Linked DNA regions of Tribolium castaneum. The protein of the gene in region 2 purifies or fractionates together with the protein of the main gene of each other region. This does not show direct contact. Links are inferred from orthologs where the notes say so. Each region holds a gene or a part of one and is shown on either strand. Other genes may lie near its edges.

Evidence for each region.
Region 1: the proteins of Cdc5 (region 2) and U2A purify together in Homo sapiens (affinity purification with mass spectrometry; 5 studies listed by BioGRID and IntAct, counting the BioPlex papers as one, with this or other methods). This does not show direct contact. The link is inferred for Tribolium castaneum from reciprocal best matches to the Homo sapiens genes CDC5L and SNRPA1.
Region 3: the proteins of Cdc5 (region 2) and SF2 purify together in Homo sapiens (affinity purification with mass spectrometry; 4 studies listed by BioGRID and IntAct, with this or other methods). This does not show direct contact. The link is inferred for Tribolium castaneum from reciprocal best matches to the Homo sapiens genes CDC5L and SRSF1.
Region 4: the proteins of Cdc5 (region 2) and Sf3a1 purify together in Homo sapiens (affinity purification with mass spectrometry; 3 studies listed by BioGRID and IntAct, with this or other methods). This does not show direct contact. The link is inferred for Tribolium castaneum from reciprocal best matches to the Homo sapiens genes CDC5L and SF3A1.
Region 5: the proteins of Cdc5 (region 2) and RNA-binding protein cabeza purify together in Homo sapiens (affinity purification with mass spectrometry; 4 studies listed by BioGRID and IntAct, with this or other methods). This does not show direct contact. The link is inferred for Tribolium castaneum from reciprocal best matches to the Homo sapiens genes CDC5L and FUS.
Region 6: the proteins of Cdc5 (region 2) and stalled ribosome sensor GCN1 purify together in Homo sapiens (affinity purification with mass spectrometry; 3 studies listed by BioGRID and IntAct, with this or other methods). This does not show direct contact. The link is inferred for Tribolium castaneum from reciprocal best matches to the Homo sapiens genes CDC5L and GCN1.
Region 7: the proteins of Cdc5 (region 2) and Prp8 fractionate together in Homo sapiens (co-fractionation; 5 studies listed by BioGRID and IntAct, with this or other methods). This does not show direct contact. The link is inferred for Tribolium castaneum from reciprocal best matches to the Homo sapiens genes CDC5L and PRPF8.

The regions. Positions count from the first base shown.
Region 1 is NC_087395.1:21,925,132-21,927,936, reverse strand, and holds U2A (U2 small nuclear ribonucleoprotein A'), read right to left. Parts: upstream 1,633-2,805; 5' UTR 1,547-1,632; coding exon 1,465-1,546; intron 1,419-1,464; coding exon 1,271-1,418; intron 1,221-1,270; coding exon 868-1,220; intron 813-867; coding exon 687-812; intron 638-686; coding exon 603-637; 3' UTR 501-602; downstream 1-500. UniProt on the Homo sapiens protein: Involved in pre-mRNA splicing as component of the spliceosome. Associated with sn-RNP U2, where it contributes to the binding of stem loop IV of U2 snRNA.
Region 2 is NC_087400.1:3,567,162-3,571,324, forward strand, and holds the start of Cdc5 (cell division cycle 5-like protein), read right to left. Parts: upstream 2,801-4,163; 5' UTR 2,596-2,800; coding exon 2,154-2,595; intron 2,010-2,153; coding exon 1,323-2,009; intron 533-1,322; coding exon 1-532. Other genes in the region: Yod1 (ubiquitin thioesterase Otu1), read left to right, coding at 3,169-3,858, 3,909-4,121.
Region 3 is NC_087401.1:8,584,845-8,588,122, reverse strand, and holds the end of SF2 (serine/arginine-rich splicing factor 1A), read left to right. Parts: intron 1-1,416; coding exon 1,417-1,589; intron 1,590-1,638; coding exon 1,639-1,797; 3' UTR 1,798-2,778; downstream 2,779-3,278. Other genes in the region: Pex12 (peroxisome assembly protein 12), read right to left, coding at 2,785-2,985, 3,033-3,278. UniProt on the Homo sapiens protein: Plays a role in preventing exon skipping, ensuring the accuracy of splicing and regulating alternative splicing.
Region 4 is NC_087397.1:12,582,887-12,586,906, forward strand, and holds the start of Sf3a1 (splicing factor 3A subunit 1), read right to left. Parts: upstream 2,801-4,020; 5' UTR 2,726-2,800; coding exon 2,632-2,725; intron 2,559-2,631; coding exon 2,394-2,558; intron 1-2,393. Other genes in the region: peroxidase, read left to right, coding at 3,842-3,881. UniProt on the Homo sapiens protein: Component of the 17S U2 SnRNP complex of the spliceosome, a large ribonucleoprotein complex that removes introns from transcribed pre-mRNAs.
Region 5 is NC_087395.1:19,586,664-19,588,952, forward strand, and holds the end of RNA-binding protein cabeza, read right to left. Parts: intron 1,939-2,289; coding exon 1,820-1,938; intron 1,621-1,819; coding exon 1,350-1,620; intron 1,146-1,349; coding exon 797-1,145; intron 747-796; coding exon 701-746; 3' UTR 501-700; downstream 1-500. UniProt on the Homo sapiens protein: DNA/RNA-binding protein that plays a role in various cellular processes such as transcription regulation, RNA splicing, RNA transport, DNA repair and damage response. Binds to ssRNA containing the consensus sequence 5'-AGGUAA-3'.
Region 6 is NC_087395.1:1,243,689-1,246,361, forward strand, and holds the end of stalled ribosome sensor GCN1, read right to left. Parts: intron 2,042-2,673; coding exon 1,820-2,041; intron 796-1,819; coding exon 667-795; 3' UTR 501-666; downstream 1-500. Other genes in the region: und (methionine aminopeptidase 2), read left to right, coding at 193-445. UniProt on the Homo sapiens protein: Ribosome collision sensor that plays a key role in the RNF14-RNF25 translation quality control pathway, a pathway that takes place when a ribosome has stalled during translation, and which promotes ubiquitination and degradation of translation factors on stalled ribosomes.
Region 7 is NC_087394.1:7,714,791-7,718,290, forward strand, and holds part of Prp8 (pre-mRNA-processing-splicing factor 8), read right to left. Parts: intron 3,226-3,500; coding exon 2,972-3,225; intron 2,919-2,971; coding exon 2,311-2,918; intron 2,258-2,310; coding exon 1,931-2,257; intron 1-1,930. UniProt on the Homo sapiens protein: Plays a role in pre-mRNA splicing as core component of precatalytic, catalytic and postcatalytic spliceosomal complexes, both of the predominant U2-type spliceosome and the minor U12-type spliceosome.

The DNA.
Region 1 (2,805 bases), on a different chromosome or scaffold from region 2:
TAAGTGACGCGAATTGTTATAGAAATAATTCCAAATCAACTAAAACATTCTGAAATGAAAAAATTTATTTGAACTTTGAAATATTCTAAAACCACTATTACCACACACTTTGAAAAGTATTTCGGTCACTTTAGACACAATTTCCAAGGCGCTCTTAAAATGACACGAGTAGCCACTAAAAAGTATTCGCAAGACGGTTTTGAGATAAAAACAATTTTTTATTTTTTACATGTTTACAGACAAATTTAAAATCCGCAAAATTTAAAAAACTGGTTTATTTCTGTAATTAACATTACTTTTGCTCGCTGTGAAAACTAAAAACTAATTTTCTTCGAAAAATTAGCTGCAAAACAAAATTTGTTGTTAGCTTATTTCGTTCAATTAATTTCTGAAACAGATAAATCTTGCCAGAAAGGCATTGTTTCAGTCGGGAAAGATTGAAATAATACCCAGTTATTGTACGTATTGCTTTATTAGAAAAAATGAAAAATTAATTCCGCTCGCTTCTCAACCTTGTATTTAGTGTAGTACAATACTCTTATCAACCGGAACTTATAAATAAAACTAATTAATTGTACACCTGACTGAAAATTACCTCAAACTTATTCATATTCCATACTTTGTCCATTTTGATATCCTGAAAAAAAATATTACATTTCCCACAATAAATCATAGAAAAAATTAACCGTTCATTTCTTCTTGACCAGGAATTTGACCAGACTGTAAAATCTTCTGTAACCGTTCAACCTCTTCCAAAGAACTGGCCTTATTGATAGCTTCACGAATTTTCGCAATTTCTTCGTCTGTAAGGCCTTGAAAAAATAATTAAATTGAAAAAATAAAACTCACAGAAAATGTAAGACGTACCTTTACTTTTGGCAATACTGTTACCTGTACCTCCGGGAATAAACGTCTTTGCCCTTTTCCCAATTTCTTTCCTAATCTCCTTGCCTTTCTTACTCTTAAACAGAGCCCTCGCCTCTTCCCGTTCCTTAGCTGTGACTTTACGAAAATCGAGCAACCTTAACTGCGGTAACTTATAAATTAGGTATAGCCTGTAATGCTGCTTGGAAGTGATAGGGTTATGTAAAAGACTAACTGTGGTGAGCTTCTCCAAAGTGCACAACGGCTCAATATCACCCAGCTCTTCCAAGTGGTTCCCAGTCAAAATCAGCGTCTCCAAATTAGGAATGTACTCCTCCAAATGCTCCCCAATGCGTCTAAAACCCCAAAACTCAAAAAAAAAAAACGAAAAAACCCCACAACTTACACAATACGGTTATTGTTAAAAAGCAAACATTTCAACCGCTTCAAGTACGGAAAACCATCCAACTTGCGCACATCATTGTCCGAAAAGTCAATTGTGTCGAACTGGTCACCGGTGGCCCCCAGATTTTCCACTTCGGGGATGCGATAACCTAAAAAAAGATGACTTAACCCAACTTTTTTACATTTGGTCCTCACCTCGTAAGTCCAACTCGCGGTCTTTTACCGGATTTATGTATTGCATGGAATTTTGAATCAGCTCGGCTGTTAGCTTCACCATAATTAGGTTTTAGCGAAAAATTACAATTAAACAAACAACGCACAAGCCATCAATTTCACCGACTACCGTTACAGGTTTCTGTAATTGTTACACGAATACCTGTAGAGAGCGCCCCAAACGCAATTTCCCTGAATTTCCAAAAATTTCCAAAATTAAGATGAAGCAATAAATATCAATCATTGGGACCAAATAATTAATAATTTAATTTTTGTATCAAAACATGGAATCTAAATATGAAAAAATACAGGAAAACGTCGTTAATCCGAACCCCTTCTAACCCGAAAAACAAACTTACTTTTAACTGTTAACAGCTGATAATGATAATTTGATAATATACTCCGTATGTTACATTATTGTATTTTGTAATAAAAAGTCCTGCTTCAGTTATTTATTTATTTTAATTAGGTAAGAAAAAATTAATTTCATAATCGGGAAAACCCCAAACAAAAATGGCTCGGATTCAAAGGCTTCACTATATACAAAAACACGTCTGCCAACACTTATTTCAGCGATTTGTGTTGGTCACAAATATGCTAATTCTGGCTAAAAAAAGTTGCTAAACAATAAGAAAAACACAATGAATGTGTGGAATGTACGTTTGAAGTATTATTATCTGTCGGATTCCCCGCATCGTCATTAATTAATCAAAAAATGATTTCGTGAAACGAATCAAGCCATTGTCTTCTTCACTTCCCCTTAGAGCAAAAAACAAGAGCCAAATTATTCATTGACGTCACAAATGTTTATCCAAACCGAACGGGTTTATTTCCATTGAACTTACACCAATTACGCGCCGATGAGTGATAAAACTCGTTCCATTCTTAATCTGGAAGAAAATTTCCTTGTGACTTTTCCGAGCTAATGAGACTTGAAGAATGCGCGTTTCGCGATAAGATTTATTACCACCTGATGATAATTAATTGTGAGCCGAATTGTACTTGAGGGAAAGGTTTCTCACATCACAAATTTCTGAAGGACCCACTTTAAATACGCAATGTGTAATAATTGTATAATGCCACCCACCTGAAAGAATGCAATTGTTGCCTTGTTTACTTATGCTAATTGGAATAAAAGTGCGAGTGTCTTCGGAACAGTACTGCAAATCGCCTAATTTAGCAGCGCTGCATACACAGCGTCTATAAATATCCCACTTTATTAAATAATTATGGAAATGCAGCCTGCGGTCGTTACCGAAAATATGTGAGAAGGCTGCGCTCGCTTCCGGTCGGCAGTCCTTAGGCAAGGACTTCCCCTGAGTT
Region 2 (4,163 bases):
TGCAGCTCGGTCAACGAATGCGACTCGTGATTCGGCCGCAAAACGGCCAAATTTACATCGTGGGGGCGCGGCAGCCCCCTTTGAATCACCTGCGACCGCAGGGCTAACTCCTGAGCCGCCCGAATTTTCGCTTCTTCAAGCGCTCGCGCATCAACATCTGCCTGATCTTCGACAATATTTGGCGTTTTTTCTTCTTCTTTTTCCTCTTCTTCCTGTTCGGGAACGACGATTTCGTAGTCGTTCTTCGGTGTCGGTAAACTACTTAAGCCTAGTCTTAGTTGTTCTTTTAAATTGTTTTGGAGCGAACGCTGTTCGGCTGGAGTTTGTGCCACCATTTCGGTGTTTTCCTCATTTATATTGAGTTTGTCACGAACTGAAGGCGTAAAACTGCCTTGGGGGCCCTGCGGTGTCATGAAACCGGGGGTTTGGGCCCCGAAAGGGGTCGCCAGGACCGTATTGGGAGTGGCTATGGTGAGGGCTTGTGGTAAAACGCCCGAAAAATCCGAGTTGTGAAGTGGCGTGTTTCGGCCCCCTTTTGAAAGAGATATACAAGGTGAGGCAAAGTTTGCAGTTTGGCGTTTTGCGACTAAACTATTAACTTTTTGGGAAAAGTTATTAGTGGATGGTACACTACTATAAAAATGGGACTTTTTTCAAAGTATAAAGTTTTTTAATTTTTTCGTTCGTTTTGAAGTTATGGTATTTTTTAGGTAGTAACCCACCTAGAAATTTTTTTATTGGTTATTAAGTTATTGAGACAAATAAAGTAATAAAAAGAAAGAACTACAAGTCATTTAATGTCAATTTCATTTTTTTATTTTTTATTTTTTTTACATATTATGAACAAGAAAATTGATATTTCATCCAATAAAGACAGATTTGGAATCTTCAAACAATTTTAAGTCACATAGGCATGCTCTTGGCAGGGTATTCAGTTATTGTGACTTAAATAGTTTTTTTATTGGTAGGTGACAAAGTAAAACTTTTAACTGTATCTCTATATTTAGCTCGTATTATAAGAAAAAAAAAATTTTTTTTTAATTTATTTGTACCTTTCTTAATTATTATTACGCACATTTTTAAAAATCAAGAACTTACAAAAGTTCTTAATTTCGGGATATTTTTGAGCAATATAGCGGGTGAGGCAAACTTTGCAATTTAGTATTTTTTGGCGAAACTATTCACTTTTTGAAAAAACAGATTGGTGGACGGTAAACTACTACAAAATTGCAATTTTTTTTCAAGAATAAAATTTTTCGATTTTTTCGCTCCTCTTCGAGTTACGTCATTATTTATTTATTTTTTTGTGATTTTTTTTTTACCTTTGAGTGGGGTATCCACATGCGTCAAAGCCATGACATTTTGCGCTTCTTGAAGTATCCGATCAGTTTGCGGTGCCGGAGTTCGGGGAGTCACCGCTGCCGCTTGTGGCGCCGCCACCGTATAATCATTGAACAACGTATCAGTCGACTCGATTCCACTCTCTGCTGCAACTTCACGTGCAACTTCACTCGCTTTACCCAACTTTACGACTTGTTGCAACTCCAGATCGCTAATTTGCGGCTCGGGAAGTACCAATTTCGAGCGTTTTTTCGCCGGTTCTTGATTCTGTAGCATCGCTTGTGGAATATCATTTTCTTTTCTTTGTTTTAATTTTTGTTTATCTTTGCGACGTTCGCGTTCTTCTTGTTCGCTTCGCAGTTCACCGTCGAGATGTTGTTGACGCATTTTGTGAAAATCGGGCGCCATTGGATCAACAATTTCGGTGGAAGTGTCGTAAAAACCAATCGCTGGACGTTTTTCGAAGGGGATTTCCTCATTGTAGTCAACACCGCGTTTTTTCTTACGACGCGAATTCACTTCGATGCCGGCAGCTCGAAGCTCGCGCCTTTTTTGCAGTGCTGCCAATCGACGCGCTTCTTCCAGCTGCTTTTCGCGCGCTTTTCGCTTCGCTTTTTTGCCCTGGGTGTTGGCAAGCCTGGCGCGCGCCTCGGACAACATCTCCAGCTCTGCAACGACAAACACGCGTGCCAACCTTTTTGCGTTATAGTATACTATACAGGGTGATTCTTTTGCGGTTTTGAAATTTTTATTGCATTTTTGAATTCGTGTTTTGAAACTGAGAAAAATGTACCCCATTTGTTAGCTCTTACCATCCTCGTCCATGTCTTTGGGGTCGGGCCTCGCAGGCTTGGTTTCCGGATTGGGGTCAATTTCCCCCGGTTTGAGCTTCCGGGGGTCGTCCGTGACATCCTCCCCTTCTTCCTTCTTCTGTGCCTGATCCAGGAGGTACTCGTAGCGCTCCAAACACTGAGCGGCCGTTCGCCCGATTATGGGGGCTATCGTGCGCCACTGAGTCGGCATTAACTTGGCCAAATGTAGCAACTTTTCGTCCTCTTCCCGCGACCATTCCGTTTTTTTAATACTGGGGTCCAACCATTCGAACCAACGCGCTTTACACTGTTTGGCCGATTTGCGGTGAAGGAGCGAGGCAATTCGAGACCACTGGTTTTTCCCATATTTCATTACCGCCGCTTTGAGGATCTCATCCTCGGTGTTGCGCCAAACGCCCCCCTTTATCATTATACGCGGCATTTTTGCACTCTTTAGTTAAAAACCTAACCTCACTTTTGACAAAAACTTAAATTTTATAACAATACCACTAAAAGCACGATAATGATGCTTGGGTCAACACTATTGAGTCACTAATTAGATAAGAAGTAATTATTTTGGGACACTAATGCAAAAAACGGCCCTTTTTAAACGGCTTGATTTTTGGTTATAAAAATGGCCGTCCTTGAGTTGGCATAACTGTTAGTCGAGAAAAAACAAAAATTGGGGATTAAAAATAATCAGAACCGTACTTAGAACGTATTAATCGTGACACGAGACTGATCTAAAACGTGATAATTTTTTCCTGTCTTGAAATAATTAAAAAAGTGTGGTTGGTATCTCGCGTCAGTCGGCGAAAGTCCCTAGCCCCCCCAAATCCCTGTGTTTATTTAACCCTTTTGAAATGTTATCTCGGTGATAAAGCGCCCAAGTGTTGCCCCCTTTCGCCCCAATCGTCTAAATTCGGGCCCCAAGCCCTTAATTTCGCCCTTAACCTCACTTCTCCTGTCACTTGTCACTCCCAACTGTCATTGTTATTAGCCCCCAGAGAGCACCATGTCGTTCGCTTTGCGCGTCAAAACCAAAACGGGGCAACAAGTGATCAAAAACCTAACACCTGAGCACACGATCAAAGATTTGAAGCGCCAGTTGTGCTCCATATCGCAGATCCCCGAGGACAGGCTCCATGTGTTGTCAGGGTTCCCCCCGAAGGCGTTCGCCTTGGGGGACGATGGTCTCGAGTTGAGTCGCAGTGGTCTCAAGTCGGGCGATACCCTGATTTTGGAGGAGAAGGCCCGGGAGACTGCGCCCCCCTTGCGGGGCCATATCAGTGAAAGTGTCGACTGTCCGGGGATTCTGATGAAGAAGGTGGTGCCGGCCGACAACTCGTGTCTTTTCAGTAGTGTTTACTTCGCCCTGAACGGGAAACTGGACGAGAGTGGCACGGCAGCCCCCTACATGAGACAAGTGATTGCCGAAACGGTGGCCAGCGACCCCGAGATGTTTTCCGAGGCGATTTTGGGGAAACCCAACCGTGAGTATTGCGCCTGGATCCAGGACGACAAGTCATGGGGGGGCGCCATCGAGTTGGCCATTCTCTCGAATCACTATGGGTTCGAAATTGCCGTCGTAGACACGATCAACGCTATTATCAACCGGTTCGGGGAAGACCAGCATTACACACTTCGAATTTTTCTAATGTTTGATGGTATACACTATGACCCCCTTTTTTTGGAATCGTCCGATGTAATTTCCTTACTCAGGGGGTTATCAAAAAATTATTTGATTCGTTTCAGGGGGCGAGTATTCAGACGATTTTTCCCACTGATGATGATAAGGTTTTACAAGAGGCGCAGGAATTAGCGCGCGAGGCGAAGTCGAGTCGACAATTCACTGATGTTAACAAATTTACGCTAAAATGCATGAATTGTAATATTTTCCTTAATGGACAATTGCAGGCAAGGGAGCATGCGCAAAGTACGGGACATACGAATTTCGGGGAAGTCTAGCACTGCCAGTGACCATTTTCTAGACTTGTTTTAGATTTTTTC
Region 3 (3,278 bases), on a different chromosome or scaffold from region 2:
TTCCACATTTGTGAAAGTAAGTAGTATATGGGCTATATGGCGCTTCATGAGTCTGTTTTTTCTAACATTGTTGGTCTGCGTATTTTATGATTTTTTTAATTGTCATATATTTTTCGTAATTAGCAGCCTCTCTACGGGTGTCTTTTGTTGTATTAAATCTTCGAGCAATTTGGGCCCATGTTCCATTTTTTTCACCGAACGTAATCAAGTATCTTTTTTATAATTTTGAACAAAATTGACCATATTTTTTTTGCGTTTAAAATTGCTACTTCGGTTTCTTTAATTTATCTGTTAACGATTTCAATAAAATTATAAAGTTATGTATATTAATAACGTTAATATTAAAAATGTTAAGCGATAAGCCAATGCTTAAGCGGCCAACATCGACCGGTTAGTTAAACCAATACTAAGCTTTAGCTTAGTCGATATTTCGTATCTGACCACACGGTGCCCCTAGTTTGGGACACCTCTCATTAAAAATTCCTACATTTGATCCTTAAATTCGATTAGGCGTATGAAGGTTATCAATTGTACCAAATTTTGTATTTTTATCTGAAACGGTTTCTGAAATATTGAGGAAAACCTACATGTTTATAGGAAATTTATGATTAAAAATAAATGTTCTATTACCTATTATACAAATTTGTAACAATAAAAACAGAACAGCCTGCATATCGGGCAATAACTCCGGAAGTATTAGACGTAATCTTATTAAGTTTATTCAAGTCAACCTCTTCATATTCTACTATAAAAATGGCCAGCTGAATTCAAACTTGGTCGCACATCTCTCAATGATGAGTTTTGTGAAGGATGACCAAAACAGTAACCACGGATAAAAACCTCAAAAAAATGCAAATTTCGATATTGGATAATCAGCGAATGAAAGTGTATGAGGTAGCTAAGGTGATAGGGATATCTGAGAAAAGGGTGTAGTTTATTTTGCACCAAGAATTAGATACGAAAAAATAGTGTGTGAAAGGGTGTCGCAAAGGCGCTCTGGCAATGGAAAAATTGACGAATTAAAAACATGAATTATTAGAACATTCTTTATATTCGCCTGATTTGACTTCCCCAGACTTCCACAATTAAAAAAAAAATGTGATTAGGAGAAATTATCACTCGAATGAGGAGGTAATAGCGACTATAAATAAGTATTTTGCAGAACTACCAGAAAGTCACTTCAGGGATGGGATTAAAAAACTAGAAACACATTGCACTAAGTGCGTTGAACTAAATAGAGATTATACTACAAAATAAATGCATATATTTGAATTAAAAAAAAACGAAGTCTTTTAAGATGAAAAAAATCGTAACTTAAAAACTATTGGGAATGTGGTGATTTTATCGACACCAATCGATTCCCCGGATCTTTTTACATAGGCTTACATCAAAATATTTACAATTGAATTTTTGCAGGGTTGCCACCGTCGGGCTCGTGGCAGGACTTGAAGGACCACATGCGGGAGGCTGGAGACGTGTGCTTCGCGGACGCGTTCAAGGACGGTTCAGGCGTTGTGGAGTTTCTCCGATACGAAGACATGAAATATGCTATAAAGAAATTGGACGATTCGAGGTTTAGGTCACATGAGGTAAGAGTTGTTTGGTTGTTGAGGGATTTGTGTTTTAATTTGGCGTCAGGGGGAGGTTTCGTACATAAGGGTGAAGGAAGATCGTGGGGGGAGTGATAGACGGTCAGGGGGAAGGTCACGCAGTCGTTCATATTCGCCCCGTCGGAGGGGTTCCCCAACATACAGTCCGGTCAAAAGGAGTTACTCCAGAAGCCGTTCTCGCTCCTAATTTAATCTACTCTACGGACTGGCCTTTTTGTATAATGTACGTATCAAAAAAACCGGGGATTTTTTTAATTTGATTGATTTAAAAAAAATGCAAGAGAAAAAAAGCGGTTGGTAACCCTGGAATTTGTATTTGTAAATGTGGGTATTTTAATTCTTCTGACATTCCTGGAAGAATCGTTTTTTTCTCTCCTCCATTCTTGTAATTTTTTAGACTTAAATTTTATAAAAATTTTCAATTAGGTTAGAGTACGGATAAGGCACTAATATGTATTGTTTCTTTTTTCTGTTACCGTACAATTTGCTGAGTCAATCAGCGTTGGACTGGTTTTTGGAAAAAATAATAAAGTCGATAGTAAAATAATAGACAATAAAATGTTATCTTTGACACACCCGGATGCAAGAGGAGTGGATGAATGTTGTTAGGAGGGAGTCTCAAAGATCGTGGAGGAGGATATTTAAACTTTTAACACACTAAGCATTGCATTTTTCGGAGTGTTGAGAGGACACCACACAATTAAATGGCTCGGTAAATAAGTTATTCAATTTTTCTAACAATGAAACACAATCATTTCAAAAAATTAACTGACACGTTTCTCATTGAAAAAACAGTGTTTAAACGAGATGTTTTGCAATGCGATAGGTCTCACAAACACGGGATTTTGATCTCCACTTCACCGGAAGGAAAGGACAAACTCCTAGGATTAGGATTTTTTAAATAAATTGTAGTAATTTTCGGGGGATTTTAATACTTTTCCTAGGATTTTGGCGATGAAGTGGATTTAAAACTGTTTGAGGATTAGGATAGGATTACTAGGATTAGGATGAGTGTACCGGAAGGACCTCGTGGATTTGTTCCCAGGTATTTGAGACTTCTTTTTCGTTTTTTATTAATATTTTTTTATCATTTTGCTTGACAAAAAGTGTGGCTTTTTGTTGTTTTCACAATTGCATGTTTATTTCAATAAAAAATTCTCAACTACAACGTCTTTTATTCATTATCATATATCCTAACGATATCCAGCGGTTTGGCGGGAAGATTCGTAACCGGACACTTCTGGTTGTCCCTCAAATACCGCAAAATGCAAGGAAAGCAAAACACGTATCCGGAAACAGGAAGAACAGTCGGTATTTTCCAAAATTGTAAACAAATCGGACATTTATTGTGATAATTTCGGGCTTTCCCATCGAGCTAAACAATCAAATTAGCACTACTACCAACACTATCACTAGACTCACCATTGGTGGTTTAACAGTTGGCAGCGCCGTCACACTATAATTCTGGTGAGCGCTCCAGGCTTGCAAAAACTGCAAGAAAAACGCCCCAAACTCGAAGGTACTTGTAACCGCGTTTTTCAAAATATTCAATTGCCACAAATCCGCCAAATGCCCTTTGAATAAAAGCGACCAGAAACTTGGCTCAGGTGGAAGTGGCTCCGAATACGCCAACTTGACATCAATCAATTGAAGAATCGGCAATTGAGC
Region 4 (4,020 bases), on a different chromosome or scaffold from region 2:
TTATTCCAAGTGTTAAGTATTAAATTTCTGAATCTGAAACATCAAAATCTGTTTTTGAATCAGACTCACTTAGAGAAATAATAAATGGAGAAATATTTGCAATGTGTTTTGTCCAATCTGAAGCAATTAATTATTCCCAGTGTTTACAGAAATTTTGCCACATTTCGGGTGTACATTTTATGAGTGATTCCGACCATAGATTTGCAACTTTATTTCTGTCCAAAGGTTGCTCATTTGTATGTTTATTATAATAGTTCTTAGAAAACCCCTATGCCAATGAATTGCGTTATACTAGCGATGATATGGGGGTAATCAAAGAACTTCATGTCCATGGTCATTTAAAACTTTATCTATTACGTACTGTTTTTAATTATTTGCTTTTAAAGGTTTTATTAAATCCTACAACTGATTTTTAGTGAAGTATTAAATCAAATTCTATATGATGATTAATCAACCATACCTACATTTTACCCTTGGTAGAAGACGACGTGGGCATTTTTTCCAATTGCATCGAGTGACACGGAGCACTATCCATTATCACAACAGATTTAAATGGTAGTTTTGCTAAAGCAGGAATTAATTGGTTAATCACCCATGTTTGAAATATTTCTCCATTCATAGTTTTGTGATAGCCTCTGTCATTATTCGCCACATCCATTAAAAGGTCACATCCTTCCAAAAAAGCAAACCGACATCCCGCATATAATATAGTGAACCTTTTGTCTTCACTTTTAATTTTTGAAGGATTGCTTTTTAGGTCTTCTTCGTGAACCCACCGTCGAACATTGCTGCCATTTTGATAAATCCACCTTTCATCCAAATATACAAAAATAAAATTTTTAGTGTTTTAGAGTTTTGGTACTGAAGAAATTTTCGTAAAAAAACAATTTTTGATATCAGAACATGTTTTTGTTCACAAAGATTTTTCTTCTATTAACTAAACGAAATCTGTAACTCATATTTTTTAAAATTCTGTATGAAGTTGTTCGCCCTCCTTCAAACTCCAAATTTTCTTTTGATTCTGTTAGTAATGTGTCTAAAGTAAAATATTGATTTTTTTAATTATATTTCGAAGTAGGTATATTTAATTTCAGTTCATAGTAGAATTGCATTTTTCAACAGCGGATGTGAGTATTTTGGAGTAAAAATTAAGCCCAAATTGAGTTTCTGTATAAGAAAAGAATTCACACTTTGAGCTAAGAAAACCCACCAGAAACTCTCATGTTAAAAAATGCATATGCGCTGTTAAAAAATTCTACTATGAACTGAAATGGGATATACTACTATGGAGAAGTATCTGCTAATAACAGGAAGTGCCTACTTTTAACTATAGTCTTTTGTTCCCGAAAGTAAAGTATTTACTTAAAAAAGTAGCATTTACTTCACCCATGTCTTTACTCCACTGGACTGTAGTATTAGCATCTACTTCATTTTTATTTATACCACCCAATGATTTGTTTGGCATTCTGAAGTCCAGAGCAATGTCATACGTGTAGTTTTCACAAAATTTCAAAAAAAAAGATCCTTAATGAAAACCACATTAAACTTGAATAATTGTTGGTATTTTCATGGAGTTTAGAGAAAAGATAAGACAGCTTAACTGTTTATTTACAAAGTTAAAGTTACGTCTCGGAAACGCCTTCAGACCTTGGCTACATAATACTACGAAAATACCAACAATGATAAAAAAGGAGAATAATTTTTTTTTATAATTGAACTTGAATGTTTTTCGCAGAAAAATGATGAATGAAACGATTTGTCTTGAACGGTAAACTAAAAGGTTTTTTTTGCATAAAAACAGTAATTCCACTTTACATTCACATTATAAACAAGTGTTCAAAATTAGTTAATGTTTGAAAAACTTTATTAATCCGGCGTTACTCAGGTGAGTTTTTAGGACACCAATACTAAGGTGGGGTGTGACACACACATCAAAGAATGTGTTTGTTATTCTGAAACTATACCAAAGCATTTTACACTCGATTTTACATAAAGTCCAATATTTCAAAAAAGTCAAATCTTTACCTAGTTTTATAGAGCAAAATTTTTGGTAAAAAGTAGTAACGTAAGTAAGTGGGGTGTAACAAACCCCAGAGCCATAAAATCGGCTACAACACACATATTATAACAGCCAGGTGAAAATTATATTATATTATATGAAAATCATATATTACATCATATTCGAAATGTTTTTGCAATCTACTGAAAGGTGCATACATATAACATTCCTATCTAAAAAACCAAAGCATTTTTTTACTCTGGGGTCTGTCACACCCCAACTGAGTAACGCCGGGTTAAAGAACAAATATTCTTCAGTGTGACCAACCTAATAAAAGAACCATAGGTCTACTTTAACCTGATCAACTCGATTAATATATTTTTATGTTCCTTACCTTTCCCCTCTCGAAAATCGTTGACTTTGTGCTGATAATACGCATGGTAGGGGTCACCAGGATTCAGGAAATTAAATTTCGGATTCCCTAATTCGTTCTGTCTGATCCTGGCCTCAAATTCTGGCCCGTTTCTGGCCACAAAACTGGCTGTTTTATCGACGATATCTTAGCAAATTGTCAGGAAAAATACAATCTAACCTGAATTTTCCGACAAATCTGAAATTTTCACAAAGGATACTTCTCACCTCTGGTGGTGGATAAATAATACCCACCACTGGATTTATCGGTCCGGGATCGTCCGGATTTGGATTATTTGCTTCCAAAACCGGCATTTTCACTATTTTTTCTTACAATAAGCTAAATAAACACGCTAACAAACGCTTGCTCAACGTAAAATGAAGAGAGAGATGGCAATAAAAAATAAAATTGATGAATACTCCAAACCACTAGAGGCGCCACAAGCGGTCTTTACAGAATTCTATACCAACATTTTACGCGTGTAAACTGTTTTTATATTTTTTACTTTTGTAGTTATTTCTTATATTTTTTACAAATATTATGTATTATTATTATGTATTATAATATTATGTATTACGTTAATATCTATATTACAACTAACGCTTGTGGTTGCGGATCAAAAAGAACGATTAATGAAACCTAATTTATAGATTTGAAACAGCTTATATCTCATTTCAACTCATAGTAGAATTTTGCATTTGCATTTTTTGGAGTGAAGTAGAGCTCAAATTGAAAGTTTCTGGGTTCTTGGCTCAAAATTTGTTACTGAGATTTAGCTTAACATATATTTTTTTCTTATAAAGAAACTTTCAATATGTGCTTTATTTCACTCCAAAAAATCCAAATGCGCTGTTGCAGAATTCTGCGATAAACTGAAATAAAATATATTAGCTGTTTCAAAACTAAAAAAACGCTAACGTCGCATTTTTTTTTGAATTAGGTGTTATAAATTATTCATGTAGTTCAAAAAAATAATAGATAATGTAATTTATACTTGGGAAAGCTAATCAATAATAATTATTTTACATTTTTATTAATCTTATTTAAAAAAATTATTTAGTAAAATGCGACGTTGGTGTTTTTATAGTTTTAAAACAGCTAATAATTTATATTCAACATAGTATTTAACATTTTAGCGAACCTTGAAAAAACGTTGTACCTATAACTTCTGATAGTTTTCAGCTTCAACAGATCAATATTTAGTTCAATAAATTAAAAAACATAATAAAAGTAAAAAAATATAAAAATTTATGTTTAAACATTTGAGCTAAATTACTCTACACCGTTAGAGGACGCTTCAAAACAGACAGATAATTGACAGAAGAATTTGACAGTACGTTTGTGGTTTATGCTGCCCTCTTTTACCAACGCTTCCAAGTTGGGAGTTGTGCGTTGGTAAGGTTGATAACCTGTGGTTTGTTATTGTTTATATGCGGGAAAATTTCATTTTTAATCGAATTTTTCCAATGGGTGAGTTAATTATTTGATTTTTGATTATTTTGTGTTGGATTAGTGTGAGTTTGTGTTATAAGATTGATACCGGAAGGCCGCTTTCCTTCCGTTTTGTTTGAAACTGCGACGGAAATTTCCACAGTCGCATCGGCCTGGT
Region 5 (2,289 bases), on a different chromosome or scaffold from region 2:
ACTATCAGACTAAGTTTCTTGAATATAAAATTTCTCAAAAAAATCACAATTTGTTGATGTGCCAACACTGGAAATTATTTCCTAGGAAACCGTTCCAAAAATACTTATTTTATTGTTGATCAAAATCTATTGCGATCACGACTGTTAGACAGCGTATTGGCCGTTTCAAAATTATAAAAACGCCAACGTCGTATTTTCTCTCAAAATTAGCTGTTATAAATTATTCATGCATTTCAAAAAAATAATAGCTAATGTTAATTTATACCTTCAATGAGAGATCTAATCCCCAATAACCATTTTACAATGTTGTGAATCTTATTTAAAGAAATAATTCGGTAAAATGCGACGTTGGCGTTTTTATAATCTTGAAACAGTTAATCGCCAGATACCATTTATTAAAAATTCGTTATTGTGAAGTTTTGAAGAAAAAAGTTGTTTATGAGTTATTTTTTGACTTTGCAGGAAAATGGAATTAGGAAAGGTCATACTATAACAAAAAGTAATTTGTACTTAAAAATGTATTATACATAAAATAATTATTCACTAAACATGCCATACTCGTGACCACTCAACTTCTCGTGTTGTGTAATTACTAGAAAACACAAAGCTTTAAATCTTATAGATCACCTTATAAAAACTGAAATGAATATGATACTGTAATGGAAATAAAACACTCATGAATCTATTTGGAAAAAATCTTCTAATACGGCCTGGAACGTCCTCCATCGCGACCGCCGCCACGATCCCTAAACATCAAAATTAAAATCTTTCCTACACCAAATTTTGTCACAAATACCTTCCGCCTCCTCCTCGACCGCCGCCGAAACCGCCTCGGCCTCCTCTTCCACCGCCAAATCCGCGACCTCCTCGATCACCACCGCGGAAACCGCCGCCACCACCTCTTCTATCTCTTCCACGGTCACGGTCTCTACCGCCTCCGCCGCCGCCTCCTCTGCGATCTTCACCCCCGGAACCGGCACCTTCCGGCTTATCTTCACTGCATCTATTGCACTGATTCCTCCAAGCAAAATTTGTGTTGCCACAGTCTGGGTTTGGACATTTCCAGTCTCCTTCGCGGCTTTCGCGGTCTCGGCCACCGCCACCACCGCCGCCGCCGCTACCGCCTCCACCACCACCGCCGAAACCTATACCAAACAATTATTGTTTGCCAATCAAATAAAAAAAATGTTTCCCTAGACAGGATACATCAGAAGCAACCAAACTGCTACTGTGTGTTTAATGGGGAATTAATCTGCCCCTTAAAATAAAAACAGATTTTGGCCTATTTTAGACAAATCTGGGTCGGAAGGGGTATTAATTTCTTTTAAAAAAATTGCAAACTCACGTACCTCCATCTCGGCCTCTTGGGCCTCCTCCAAAACCGCCCCCGCGGCCGCCACCTCTTCCACCTCCGCGGCCGCCACCGCCACTCCAATTATCCTTTTTCGTGGCCAACTGTACCCTTATTTGAGTACCACCGAATTCTTTCCCGTCGAACCAAGAAATTGCTGATTGAGCTGCATTGGAATCGTCATACGTAACAGTGGCTTCACCCTTTGAAAGTCCGGTCTGTTTATCTTTATACAACCAAATCTTCCGTTTCTGGGTTTTCTTGTCCATCTAATCGGAACGAAATAATCATTTCAAATTTGTCAAAAATGGAATTCTTTGTAGCAGATTGAATACACTTGTTTGCAAATATTTCTTGCAATCAAGGAATAGCATCTGTCATAATATTGCGACACATCAAAATTGAACTTGGTCAAGAAAGTGAATCCAAGCACAGAGTGCAGGTCGCTGAGTTTAGTCAAATACTTACTTTAATCACGCCAATCGAACCAAAATGTTGAGCAATTTCGTCTTCGGTGAGATTTGGATTCATTCCAGACACAAAAATCGTGTCGACTTGAACCACCAAGTTACTGCCGCCGCCATTATCTGGAAATTAATACGAAAATGATGTCAAGGGTGAAAAATAATAATTTTACTAAAATTAATTGTTGCGCCAACTAACTCAGTTCTCAAAAACTGTTTCACATCTTATGGTGTGTAAAAACAATACTATATACCTTTTCTCTTACTCTCTCACTCTGAATAAACCTTAAACTTGACCATAACGCACCTTGAAATAAATACCAATTTTTTAATTTAAGACCATTGCGTTTTTGATGCCATTTTACCACGCAATGAAGAAAAAAACCTTCTACAAAAAATAAAGTATGCACTTAGCGCTCAAACGGACAGCATTAAAAGTACTCCTCAATCGAAATTTGTCAAATACGTATCACA
Region 6 (2,673 bases), on a different chromosome or scaffold from region 2:
AAGTAATTTCTTGCTATATTTCCAACGCCCTTGACAGTACTGTCCTGAAGAAGCTAAAAAAATGAGCGAAACGTAGAGAAATTACCATATCTTTAATTTCATTAACCTGTTGAAATTGTCTCAATAAACACACAAGAATAATAATATTAAACAATTATTTTTGTTAATTTTAACATTGTTTGCAATTTTCAGTCTCCAATCGTCAAAAACCCTTCTAAACATTATAAACAAGAACTTCGGAACATTGGCGTTCTGTAAGCGATGGTTGGACCGCGCAGGCGCGACCAAATACCAAATGGCTTTGAAGGATTTATGTGACAAAGGTGTCGTAGACGCATACCCACCTCTATGTGACATCAAGGGTTGTTACACAGCTCAATTCGAACACACCATCATGCTTCGTCCAACCTGCAAAGAAGTGGTGTCACGTGGTGACGATTATTAATTGTTTTTGTAAATGTTTGTCATTTTGTTTACAATTTATTGTAAATAAATAAAACGATTTTTTTTCTCATTTATTATTATTGTATTTAAAACAAAATTTACAAAATCGTATATATTAAAACTCAAAGGGAACAAAATGAAGAAACGAACACCGGAAATGATCAAAAACGCAGGGATACAACAAATCAACGTGTTGTTTGCTCCGTTGCGTGACCCTAATAATCAAGTCAGTAAAGTGTCGTCGAGCTCCTCTTCCTTTCCCTCAGGCTGCGACATTATCTTTTTGAGGACTTTACTGACGACGTCAGCGAGGGATTCGCGAGCGCCGACGTCCAGAATACTCAGACATCGCTAAAAAGACAAATAAATCAAGTATAGACTAGAGTTCCTATTCAGAAATAAAATTAACTAGACTCCCTCTGGTGATGACATTTGAACTATGTCGAAAACAGTAAAGAAATTTTCGTAATTCCACATTTAATTGAATTTAATGAATTGTTCAACAATTTTGCGTGTATAGTGTTAATTACTTAGAATAGAAATTATCACTTTTAAAGTACGTAGTGGTAAATACTAGCGTTGACTTTGGTTCTGTAGTTTTTCGTGGTATAAAGTGTTTATTGTTGGAAATTGAAAGTGGATAAAAAGTGAAAAATATTTAAATTTTAATTACAAAGTGTTATCAAACAGTTCTCTAATTAAAGATTATAAGTAATGGATCACAGCGAACACAAACTTTGGCCCAAGAAATCAATAAATTAGTGAAGTGTGTGAATTTTAGGTTAGAATTTTCCACTGAAAAAATCATGAAATGCTGCGGTAAATCTACAAAACTACAATAAAGATTAACAACTGCTGATACATTTAAACGTAAATTATGCCAAAAGGTAGGCTTTTCAATGTCTTTGTAATAATTTTCCAATAAAGAAAGTGAACCAAACAGTCATTCGTTATTCGTGTTTTCCTCGTCATCTCTCATTTGTCAACATAAGTTTCTTGCATCAAAGATGCAATAATCATTCCGCATAGGCAATGTAATAATTGTGAAGCCCCAAAATTCGTACAACGCTCAAAATATTCGAATAAACATTTTCCCGCCATTTATGGTTACTGTTTTCGACCTAGCTCAGTGGCGCCCCCAACGGTAATTTTACTTCCGAATACCTTATCCACATAATACAAAATTGGCTCGGTTTGACGTTCAGTGTCCCAACTCTCCCAATAAAGGAACTCTAGTATAGACTAATTTATAGAAATTCAGTGATATTATGCGCCTTTTTTGTAAATTGTGTCCAAAAATGGGTCGCCAGGAGCCAGATTATTCAATTTTTAAACGGTAAAATCTTAGACAAAATCATTTAAAATGAAGATTTACCTGTTGCATAGCGTCGCCATCTTTTAGCCTCAAAACCGCAATCAATGCAAGTTCTGAGTTTGCCTTAACATAACCATTTTTCTCTTTAGTTCCGTTGACTAACGTTGGTAAAAGCAGCTTCAACAAATCTGAAGACATCTTCTCCTGTGGTACGGTTTTAGCCAAATGGATGCAAACTCGAGCCAAGAGTTGTTTTACATCGTTGTTATTGTTGTTCATTGTCTGTAATTTTTTATTTTGTTTAATGCCGCAAAACTTTTGACCAATTTTTTTTATAAAATGCCTTATTAATTACAAACCGTACCAAAAGTTGCTTACATTTGGTCATTTTTGGACCATTTTCTAACTTGTTTAGGGTTTTTTTTCTTTATTTAAATAAAATTGCGGGAATAAAATTTTAATTTACGACGTAATTAGGAAGAATTTTGTACGTTATTAAAAGCCGCTTACAGTTTAACTTACCTAATTTGTGAAACCTGTTCGCTGCGCTCACTCGTTTTGGCAAACATTATCCTCGTCAAACAAAATCGATTTTTCATAACTGATTACGTAAATAACTATTAAACCAGAACTTTAATACAAATATCATTGTTGTAGGAAAAAAAATACCGAATTTGTCGAGTTTTTCGCTATTTTGACGTAATCTAACTCTTGAAATTTTCTTATTTTCACAAAATGTCCTAAATAAATTCCTTTTAACAACTTTTCAGGAAAAATGCTGATATTTACCACAGAAATTTGTTAAAAACAGGCCAAAGACTAAATGTTTTTTTTGAATGTTTAACAAAAAGCAAAACATTTTCAATAAGTTTTGGTTGAAAAATTGTCAAATTACACCGAAATTGATTGTATTT
Region 7 (3,500 bases), on a different chromosome or scaffold from region 2:
AGTTTTTATTTTCTAAGTGGCTTATCTTTTTAAACAAAACAGTAATAAATAAAGAGTTGATATTAATTTAAACATCCATAAAATAACAATTTGTTATTTGATTAATAATTTTCCCAAAATCGTTATAAATAATTGTGAATACTTTAAAAACAACAAAAATATGTTAAAGGTCCTAGATGTATTTACTCATAACAGAAGTATTATGAATGATTATTTTATGTAAACAGGTAATACAGAGAAAGTGTATGACAAAAATGAAAAATAGTAAGATTATGAACAAGACAGAAAATTATGTTAAGTAACAATTTTACTATAACACCAAAATTAAAAAAAAATAATTATTATCAAAAAGAGAACACCGTTCTTGTGAAACTAAACTTGATATAGGTTTAACAATTTGTATTTTGTCGTAAGCTTTGAAAAAATAATTTTTGAAATAATTTCAAATTTGAAAGCTCTTGATCTTGCGCACGTCTAGAATTCTTTAGCATTATTATTATTATTTTCATTGAACGAACTTTGTTTCAAACTAATCTTTTTACTCATTGCAAAAGTTAAAAAGCAAATTAGAAAATGATATTTTGGAACGATATTGACAGATTTTGCATAAAGTTAAATCAAATCAAAATGTAAGCAAACGTTGACAATTACCGTGACATTATATTATTATAATTATATTATGTAACCAAAAAATGTAATTTTTCAATGTGTTTTTATTTTTCTACAAGATGGAAGAGCATGTGAAACAACAAATAAAAAATAGTATGGAGAACATAACATAAACTGTTTCAAATAGTTCGTATCTAATAAGTAAATATTATCAAAACTTTGGAACGAAATGAATAACCATTTATAAAATCATTCAATAGGAACAAGACAAGATTTATGCACCATTTTACTCCTGAATTTTGTTGAGACCTAGTAAAAACTATCCCGACCAAGGTTCAAGTAATCAGGAAAGGAAAGGAGACGTAACTTAATATTAAATCTGTAAAACAGTTTTCTGTCCGAACATTAATACCCTGTAGAGTAAAATTTAATAAAGATTTTTTTTTCAGTTTTTCTAAAACATTATTGGTCAAATAACTAACTGGCGATTTATTTATCGTTAATGAAATCAACCCCTAATATTTTTTTCAACTTAATTTGTCAAAAAATGGCAGCATTATTTATTTATTATGGTCTGTCCAATTAAACTAACTAAACTAACTAAATAGTTATACAAAGTGTTGGAATTTAATAGAATTTTAAAACACAAAGAGACATTATAAAACGAAGTGTGTCTTGGTTTTTATAACTTCGATGAAATTTTAATCAACAGAATAGTTGTAAAACATATTTTACATCTTGTAAAAAAATAATGTCTCCCACAACTGTTTATCTAAAGAAAACCTTAAGCTTCTCTAAACTGCTTGTACTGAAGTTATTTTATGTTTTTTAACTCTTCTGATACAAAATATATTTTTTTTACATTATACAAAATTGAAATGAACAAAAATGCATGCCACATGTGTTATGTAATTGAATAAACCCCAATATTTTCATTAAAAACTTGATTTAGACACGCCGCAAGATTGTTTAATAACCTTTTAACTAGCTTAAAAAACAGTTCGAAACTAAAGTAAATCAAACGCCTGGAACACTACATGTTGTCTCTGTTGAGATCACTTTATAACCGATTTCAACCAGTCTATTACCGATTTTTTTTTTGGAACCAAAGCCAAGTTTTGTGTTAAAGCGGATTGTAATTGTTAAGAAATTTGTTAACTAGTATATTAAAATAAATTTCATTCCTAAAAACCTTCATTTAATTTCTAAATGTTAGCTATTGTAATGTTCATTGTATGCAGTTATGTTTTTAATTTCTATTTTTTATAGCAAAACACTGTCCGTATATTTAATTGAAAAAAAATGAACAAAGGAAACTTACTTTCCAAGGAATATTGGCCTTCCAACACCGCCACGCTTCGGACAAATGCTGCAAAATGGTCCTGGCTTTATTCTGTTTGATACCTTCAGGCATCATATCGACAATATCGTGCATAACTGAAGCTCTTAACTCAAGATCGAAGTGAGACTCAACCCTTTGCTTGGTCACAGTTTTAGCAACACCTTTGGAGTGTCTGCCTTCAAACTGCCGTGACAGTAAATTGCCGAGCCAACGTTCAAGCAGAGGTGTAATTCCCCTCATAAAGAACAACCAAACCCTCCAACCTGGAGCCCAAAATCCACAACCTGGACCTTTCCCAACTGGACCCTGTATAAAAATAATTTCTAACTTCCGATTTATAAAATTTCACAAACTCTTACCGTATTGAAACGATAATATACCAAATGTTTCAAATCTTTACACATTCTGATTTGTCTCATCAACTTGTATTTGTATCTGTACATGCCAGTCAATTGACCGACATGGGCAAAAATGTACTGCAAACCATCAGCCAGTTGAAACGCATCAACGTTGTTAAGTCTGTATTGAACGTGTGAGTCTATTATGAGTTTAGTCAAACGTAGAATTTCCCTACACAGATGGAAAGCATTCCCAAATCTGGATTTTTTACGTTCTTTTGTCGTCAAAGTCTTGACAGGTTTCAAATTAAAGTTGTAGTCCAAATGAAGATAATTGAGATTTTTCCGGTGAATGAGCAAGTTGAGCATGTTGTAACCTTGCCTACAAACTTGCAAACCAGCTTCAACCCAGTCAAGTGTAGTAGTTTGGAAAAATTTGGTGGATTTGAATGAACGGAACAAGTAGCGTTTTTTCTGTGCTTTAGGAGGCCGGTGTTTAAGCGCGTTAAGAACATAGTATTTTAACAATTTCTGGTAACTAACGCGCACTTTAACCGGTTGTCCAGGAGGACAATGTTCCATGTACCATGTTTTGACCAATGGTACATCAATGGCCCGGCGACAACGTCCTACAAGTATTAAAATAAATTTTTTCTCTACGTTTAAATAAAATAATGAATACCTGAACGCAAGTTAAATGGACGAGGAGCCCATAACAGGGCAATACCGTTAGCTGTGTTATCTGTATAAAGTGGTGTTTCTTGCAAAAAGGGTTGCACATGTTCTGGTAAAATGTATTCTTCGTCGTCTTCGGGTAGAGGTTCCAAACTTTTGACGGCATGTCGGTGCGAGATTGGGTTTATTAACGGGTCAAAATAAAAGGCTGGGAGATCGGGATCTTCTGTCTTAATGTAAACCACATTTGGGGCGTGATACCTACAAAAAATAACCTATTTCAACAACTAGTAAATTGAATTTTTTATAAAATAGTAATATGATAAAGCCCTTGCTTTACGTATTTTTTTTCTAATGTCAAACATTGTTAAGTCTTCCGCAAACTACAAGAAAAAACAATTTTAATTTATAATAATTTTAATATTAAGAACAAAAGACTTTCTAATGTTCTATTATAAAAATAAAGTCCGTGCATTTTTACACTGTGCTTTAATTGAATTTTTCAAAAATGTTAAATTTCTGATTAGCTCTTTAAC